Xenopus tropicalis: one gene and its partner. The protein of the gene in region 1 interacts with the protein of each later gene in a pairwise test. Links are inferred from orthologs where the notes say so. Each region holds a gene or a part of one and is shown in the gene's direction. Other genes may lie near its edges.

Region 1 (4,229 bases):
TATTATTGGTGTGTGTATGGCCAGCTTTAATGCCCAATATAAAAAGGAGCCTTTCTATGTACCAAACAAGTTTAACTGTCTAACAGCAACAGTTCTGAATATGTCATCTAGACAGTCCTTGTGGGTTATATCTGGGAAAAAAATAAATAGTGTCTTTTAGTATGATTTAGAGAATGGTATTCTAAGACAGTTTGCAATTGGTCTTCCTTTTTTTATTATTTATAGTTTTTGAATTATTTATTTTTATGCGTAGCAGCTCTCCAGGCTGGAGTTTCAGCATCTGGTTGCTAGGGTTCAAATTACCATAGCAACCAGGCACTGATTTGAATGAGAGACTGGAATATGAATAGGAGAGTGTTTGAATAAAATGGAGTTTCTATAGAAGTCAATGGGAGTTGCTATAGGCAAAGTCAAACTGTATTCTCAGACTCCAGTTTTTCGAGCTCATAAACTCAAAAAATTGGAGATATTCGATTTTATTCAAACGAGTTTTCCTTATTAATAAATAAGCGCCAAGGTGATATGCAAGTTTTAGAAAAACAAATTCACAAACTTGAAAATTGATAAATAAGCCCAGAAATGTTAACTTAAAGGTGAACAACCCCATTAATAAATATAGGTTAGCTGAAAGCAGTTCCAATGTGTAGCGCTGGCTCCTTCTGAAAGCTCAGACTCAGGCACACTTTACTGCTGCGCTGCAAGTTGGAGTGATATCCCCCCCCTCACCCCCAGCAGCCGATCAGCAGAACAATGGGAAGGGAGCAAGATAGCAGCTCCCAGTAGGTATCAGAATAGCACTCAATAGTAAGAAATCCAAGTCTGGCTTGGGACTCCTCCAGTTACATGGGAGTAGGAGAAACAATAGGTTAGCTGAAAGCAGTTCTAATGTGTAGCGCTGGCTGAAAGCTCCAACTCAGGCACACTTTACTGCTGCGCTGCAAGTTGGAGTGATATCCCCCCCCCTCACCCCCAGCAGCCGATCAGCAGAACAATGGGAAGGGAGCAAGATAGCAGCTCCCAGTAGGTATCAGAATAGCACTCAATAGTAAGAAATCCAAGTCCGGCTTGGGACTCCTCCAGTTACATGGGAGGGCTGAAAGCTCAGACTCAGGCACAATGGACAGTGCATCCCTAAATCTATGCTGGCCAGGGCCCCATACACAGTGCCCCCCAAAAACAGTGCCCCCAATACACACGACCACCTAACGTTGTGCTGGCTAGAGCCCCATACACAGTGCCCCCCAAAGCCAGAGCCCACATACACTGACACAGGGAGACCAGTTCACACCATGAAGCCGCCACATTCGGCTCTGACTGGGCCCCGGCAGCCCGCAGTCACATGACTAACACAGAAGGATGCCCTTAGCAACAGCAGCCTTTATGGCTCCGCCGGCGCTCGGCCCCGCCCACCCGTTCTGTCCCGGTGCATTGTGGGAGGAGAGAGGCTGGGACGAATATGGCGGATGCTGAAGAGCCGTGAGTATCTGTGTTGTGTCACCAGTAGCCTGGGGACCGTCTCTCTCCCCTCTTCTCTCTCCCCCTCTCTGTGTGACAGGCCAGGAGGGTGGCCCTAAATACCCTTCTTTTATTCTCTCTCTCTCTTTATAGGGAGAAGAAAAGAAGGCGGATAGAAGAGCTCCCTGACGAGTTAGTGCTGGTGGGACAGGGCTGTGGGTGCTTAGTGGGACCCGGAACTGCACCCTGGAGAGGAGACCGCTTTATATTTATATGTAAAGCCCCCACTGGTGCTGAGTAGGCCTGCCCTTGTTAGCACTGCTTCCCAGGAGCCCCTAGGGACTTCCTATAGTATTTATATATATATATAGTATTTATATTTAGTATTTATATATATAGTATTTATATTTAGTATTTATATATAGTATTTATATTTAGTATTTATATATATATATATATTTAGTATTTATATATATATATATATATATAGTATTTATATATATATAGTATTTATATTTAGTATTTATATATATAGTATTTATATTTAGTATTTATATATAGTATTTATATATATAGTATTTATATTTAGTATTTATATATATAGTATTTATATTTAGTATTTATATATATATAGTATTTATATATATATATAGTATTTATATTTAGTATTTATATATATAGTATTTATATTTAGTATTTATATATATATATATATATATATATATAGTATTTATATATATATATAGTATTTATATTTAGTATTTATATATATATAGTAGTGACATTGTGCAGGTACATTCTTTGCTTGCTGTACCACTTGACAGCGAAAGGGTTAATTAGGCTGTCAGCGTTCTGCTATGGGGACTGTAAGTTCCAGCACATACTATAGATATGTCTATATATATATATATATATACACACACACACATACACACATTGATAGCCTTTAGTTAACTGCCACAGGACTGACCTGTCATTGACAGTTATCAGAGCTGTACTCATTGTATTCTGGCAGAATTTCAATTACTCCCCCCCCCATCCCCCGTTATTTTTGTCTTTTAGTTGATATACTGACTTTTAATTAGGTTCGATAACATAAAAAGGTGGATTCGGGGGGGTCCCCCTACCCAAAACCTTTTCCTTTTTTAATATCTTCCCTATTGCAGTGTTCATATGTAAGCAAGGACAATAGTAGATTTTTTTCAGCACCACTAAGAAGTAAAACTAAAGGCAAGCCAGGAAGAGAATACAGGTATGGGATCCGTTATCCAGAAAGCTCCAAATTACAGGAAGGCCATCTCCCATAGTCTCCATTTTAATCAAATAACTCCAGTTTTTAAAATGATTCCCTTTTTTCTGTAATAATAAAACAGTACCTGTACTTGATCCCAACTAAGATATAATTACCCCTTATTGGGGGCAGAACAGCCCTATTGGGTTTATTTAATGGTTAAATGATCCCCTTTTCTCTGTAATAATAAAACAGTACCTGTACTTGATCCCAACTAAGATATAATTACCCCTTATTGGGGGCAGAACAGCCCTATTGGGTTTATTTCATGGTTAAATGATTCCCTTTTCTCTGTAATAATAAACCAGTACCTGTACTTGATCCCAACTAAGATATAATTACCCCTTATTGGGGGCAGAACAGCCCTATTGGGTTTATTTAATGGTTAAATGATTCCCTTTTCTCTGTAATAATAAAACAGTACCTGTACTTGATCCCAACTAAGATATAATTACCCTTTATTGGGGCAGAACAGCCCTATTGGGTTTATTTAATGGTTAAATGATTCCCTTTTCTCTGTAATAATAAAACAGTACCTGTACTTGATCCCAACTAAGATATAATTACCCCTTATTGGGGGCAGAACAGCCCTATTGGGTTTATTTAAGGGTTAAATGATTCCCTTTTCTCTGTAATAATAAAACAGTACCTTTACTTGATCCCAACTAAGATATAATAAATCTTTATTGGAGGCAAAACAATAATATTGGGTTTAATTAATGTTTAAATTATTCTTTTTAGGTAATGGGATACAAATTACCAAAAGACCCTTTATTCGGAGTTTCCCAGGTCCTGAGCATTCTGGATAACAGGCCCCCATATCTGTATTAATAAACTCATGATGTCTTAATATGTTTTTCTTTCTGCCATTAATTGTTCAGTAACGTGGACTGTAAGGTTTTCTACCATTTCCCCCAATGTGCTTCATTGTTTTACCTCTCATTTGTTCATATCTAAATATCCTATAGTGAGTCAAAGGTGTAGTTTACCTTTAAATAAACCTTTAGCATGATATAGGGCAGTGATCCCCAACCAGTGGCTCAGGGGCAACATGTTGCTCCCCAACCCCTTGGATGTTGCTCTCAGTGCCCCCAAACCAGGGAGTTATTTTTGAATTCCTGACTTGGGGGCAAGTTTTGGTTGAATAAAAACAAGATTTCCTACCAAATAAAGCCCCCTGCAAGCTGATAGGGTGCATAGAGGCCCCTAATAGCCAATCACAGCCCTTATTTGGCTCCTCCATGAACTTTTATGGTGCTTGCTCCCCAAGTCTTTTTACATTTGACTGTGGCTCACGAGTAAGAAAGGTTGGGGATCCCTGATATAGGGGATATTCTGAGATATTTAGCTATTTAGCTCTCCAGTTTGGTATTTTAGCAGCTTTTAGGTTGCTGGGGTACATTTTTCCAAAGCAAATAAATCTGATCTTTAGTTTTCATTTCCACATACTCATTTCAAATGTACATATAGAATTCCCAGTTAC
Region 2 (4,178 bases), about 91 Mb from region 1:
GATTTTTTCACAAAACGGGTGCGAAAATGTGTAATTTTCCACGTTTGGCTCATTTTTTGCTGTTTCACGAATCCTTTTAAAGTTTCTCAAATTTTTCAGCAAAGCTAAACAGGACAGATTCGCTCAGACTACAGTACCAACTTGTCAATGTGTACTTCTCCCAATTGGATTTTTAAACCTGCTACCCAATTTTTGCCAAGATATTAGTGGTGCAGGTAGCCAGAGTACCCCATTCACAGACCAAACAGTTGCTGACTCACTGTGTGTGAATCTGCAACATTTACTGGCTAGCTGTAGGCAGGTTTTGCTTGGACAAAAGGTTAAACTAAATGGACTTGTGTCTTTTTTTAACATCTGCTATTTAATTATAGCTTTCTAACTACAATACCTAAACAATATTGATTCAGGATTTGGTGGGGGAGTGATTCAGTATTGTAAAACACAAGATTTGTTCCCTTGAACTTTAAACTGGTGATTTTACACATGCCTTTATATTTCCAAGGGTTCATCCCTGGTAAACTGCTGCCCAAGGAAAGGTTCTTGCAGGTTGTGCTTTACCAGTGATAATCAAGAGCAGTGACTGCAGGCAATTCCCACTATAACTGACTTTGATCACAGCAAAAGCTGCAGTAGGCTAAACTCTTTGTTGGCTTTATGCTTCCCTGGGGTATCTTGCCATAGCCATTAGCCATATAATAATCTAGTGTAACAGCACACCTTTTCTGAGTTAGGAATTTGGTGATTATTAAAGGGATGCAAACCCAAAAATAATGTTTGCCTAATGAAAGTTCATAATTCTAAGCAACTTTCAAATATATATGAACCAAGGGTGGCACGCGGCTACATCACTTGCCTGGGGTGCACAGAAAAAGATCTAAATACTGCAAAAAAGACCAGCAACATGAAGATATTTTGTAAACAATCAAAAAGTGTATTTAAAATAGCATGCACAGGCAATGTTCATGGGGAGCTTCTCAAGGCATATATGACTGTTCTTCTGCCCTGGCAGTTATAAATATGAGAGGACCTGAATTAAATCATACATAATAAAAACTAATTGGAATGATATGTTTGGATACCTGGGATGGAGAGAAGTACAGACAAAGGAGGGTAACAGGAGTATGCAGGTGAGTGAGGGATGAAAAGGAGCCAAGCTTGACAAGGGGAGCAGAATAAAAATGTACATGTTGGTGGGCAGAACTAGGAAAAATGGGGCACATGCATTGGAGATAAGTGATGAGCAAAAGCAGGTAGATCAGTGCAAGTATCACCTGCAGGAGGGAAAGGGTAGAGCTTGAGGTAGGAATATAACAGGCAATAGAGTAGATAAAGCGGCTGGAAAGGGAAGGTTGAGGGTGCTGCTAGAGGTAGGAAAGGGATCCAATTAAGACGTGCACATAGTAAGCCATAGGATATCGAGTTGATCCTGAGGATGAAGTGGTACCAAGAAGAAAGAGCGAGATGAGGAAGCGCCAGAGCAAAGTAGGAAGGAGTCACAGAGAAGTGACAGCGCAAACAGGGCAGTTGGCGCCACTTCGGGTTATGAGCAAATAAACGCTTTCCTATTCCCACCCAGAAGGGAGGAGACAGCTGCTCAGGCTACGCGGGACAGGGGCAGAGAGACAGTCCAGAGAGACTGCAGGATAACGCCCACGGCAGCCCGGAGATATCGCTGAGCGCACAAGTAGCTGCCGAGGAGAAAGAAGGATCTGCGATCCTGGTGTGTGGAGCCCGGGGCGGTGTCGCACATGGCAGCACTCGGGGAAGCACTGTGATATCGAGCGGTGAGTAGTGGCTACTAGGCTTTGCGCTGTGCCCTAACCTGGCTCTCACACCCTACAGAATCGTGCTTTGTACGTATCGTCAGCTCACTACTCGGATCTGTGTGCTGCTCCCTAAGTGGGGGTGTTGGTACATACTCAGCTGCATGTACACTGTGCGATACCGAGCTTCTGTCGCTGTGGAACTGCACTCTGCGCACACTGCGCTCTACTCACTGCTTTTAGCGAGCGAGGGCTATGTTGTACTTTAAGCGATAAGTGACCTGAAGGGGTTAGAGCTGCTACTTCTTGTGTATTTATAACCAAATCACCGGGGTGTTAATGGCCAAGGCAAAGTCTCCATAGAAAGTGTCCGTGCGACTTTTCCCAGTGACGCATATGTGGGAGATGACACGGTCTGACGCACCGGTATTCTGGTGTTTAACCAAAGGCTGCCCGGTCGTTCTCATCTTATAGACTTTAATGTAGTTTCCGTTTCCCTTGCCTCTTCTTCCCCCGGGCATTTCGCTTTGTGTGCAGCACGGATACCCGCTCTAGGCTGCGGCCCCGCCGGTCCTGCTGGACTAATCCATCCTTTGGGTTTGTGGAGCTCTAATGAGCAACAGTTGGAAGGCTACAACTTGAAAATCAGGCAAGTACCTAAAAACAGTGCAGTGTGCCAAGCTCAGTACCCGGGGAGATTGGCAAACTGCTGAGATCTTGGAAGGACTCCATCTTATATATGAACTTTTGCCCAAAACGTGTTTTTAGCACAAGCTGTCAGTATCATCTGAAGTGTAGAGGGAAAGTGACAACTAGTTAGCATCTATGTCTGAATCTCTTTTATTTCTGTGGTGTGGTGTTTATTAACCAAATCACAAGAGAAAGAAATGTGGGTTGTGACACACAATGTCATATGTTGATACACTGTAGATTCTATAATCAATGGTCTCTTGTTTTTTTGTGGAAAAGCAGCCATTTCAATAGGTAATTTCTGAACTATATTTAACAGAATTAAATGGCATATAATATTGTCATAATTCCTCCTCTGTGTGTCACTTCTTGTATCCCCAGCCCCAGTGGCTGCTCTTTATTATATAATTCTACTTCCTTTTATCTGTTAATGGTACAGATTAATATCGCCTATCAAACAACTTTGTATTGCTGTTCCAGACCAGAAAGTCAGGCATATTGTGGCTTCATCTATTAAAGGAACAGTAACACTAAAAAATAAAAATGTTTTAAAATAATTAAAATATAATGTACTGTTGCCCTGCACTGGTTAAAGTTGCGTGTTTGCTTCAGAAAGACTACTATAGTTAATAGAAATAGCTGCTGTGTAGCCATGGGGGCAGCCATTTAAACTGAAAAAAGGAGAAAAGGCACAGGTTACATAAGAAGATAACAGATAACTGTGTAGAATACAATGGGAATCTGCTACTTATCTGTTATCTGCTTAGTAACCTGTGCCTTTTCTCCTTTTTTCAATTTAAATGGCTGCCCCCATGGCTACACAGCAGGGTATTTATATAAACTGTAGTAGTGTTTATGAAGCAAACACACAACTTTTACCAGTGCAGAGCAATAGTATATAATATATTAATTATTTTTATACACTTTCATTTTTTGGTGTTACTGTTCCTTTAAGTTAAACAGCAAGAGAAATTTATTTAGCTCTAAATGAAAATATTTTGGGTAATATTTTAAAGGCCAGCTTTGTTTTAAGTAGGATTTACTGTCAATGCATATATCCTATTTATAAATAGGTTTATCATCTTTTATCCAGTAAAAGCTGTGTTATCATGGTACCCCATCTTATTCATAAACAATATTTGAGACTATTATAAGAGAGAAATTTACCTTAAGTTTGCCTATAAGAATGTTGTAATTGTAAGTTGCTTTAGCAGCTTTTTGGAGATTGTCTTTATATACTTTTTTAATGGTAAAATATACCCCATTTTTGACACGACCTTATTCACTTGGGCTGATGTAGACAAGATGCATAAACACTTTTCTGAACTTCCAGAAATAAATCTAAATTTAGTTTTTTACACAGACATGTCTGTCTCTGTTCTCAGATGGATTCTGGGACTTGAAGTTCCTCTGCTGTCCAGAGAATCAGTGCACCACCCACGATGAAAAGCAGAGGAAGTTAAGTCCCACAATCCCTCACTTCACAATGAAGGAAGCTAAGGGAGGTATTGCATTACAACCGTGAGCCTAAGGAATGCTGGGAAATGATTTATCATGGTTTACTTTCAACTTGTGAAATCAGGCATGTTTGTGTAAAAAAAAAAAATACTTATATTTTATTTTTTTTGGAAGTCCTGCGTTTAACAGGTGTTGTAACAATAAAGAAAGCAGATCCCACAATCGCGCCTGGACGTTGGGTCTGCTTCCTCTATTTTTGCTTATAAA

What was found.
Region 2: the proteins of uba3 (region 1) and cpne2 interact in binary tests that used the Homo sapiens proteins (3 or more experiments, as listed by UniProt). The two-hybrid records come from large-scale screens. The link is inferred for Xenopus tropicalis from reciprocal best matches to the Homo sapiens genes UBA3 and CPNE2.

What each region holds. Positions count from the first base shown.
Region 1 is NC_030680.2:141,975,761-141,979,989, forward strand, and holds the start of uba3 (NEDD8-activating enzyme E1 catalytic subunit), read left to right. Parts: upstream 1-1,422; 5' UTR 1,423-1,456; coding exon 1,457-1,476; intron 1,477-1,608; coding exon of another isoform or gene 1,609-1,647; exon of another isoform or gene 1,648-1,730; intron 1,731-1,733; exon of another isoform or gene 1,734-1,752; intron 1,753-4,229. UniProt on the Homo sapiens protein: Catalytic subunit of the dimeric UBA3-NAE1 E1 enzyme. E1 activates NEDD8 by first adenylating its C-terminal glycine residue with ATP, thereafter linking this residue to the side chain of the catalytic cysteine, yielding a NEDD8-UBA3 thioester and free AMP.
Region 2 is NC_030680.2:51,390,049-51,394,226, reverse strand, and holds the start of cpne2 (copine-2), read left to right. Parts: upstream 1-1,377; 5' UTR 1,378-1,784; intron 1,785-4,178.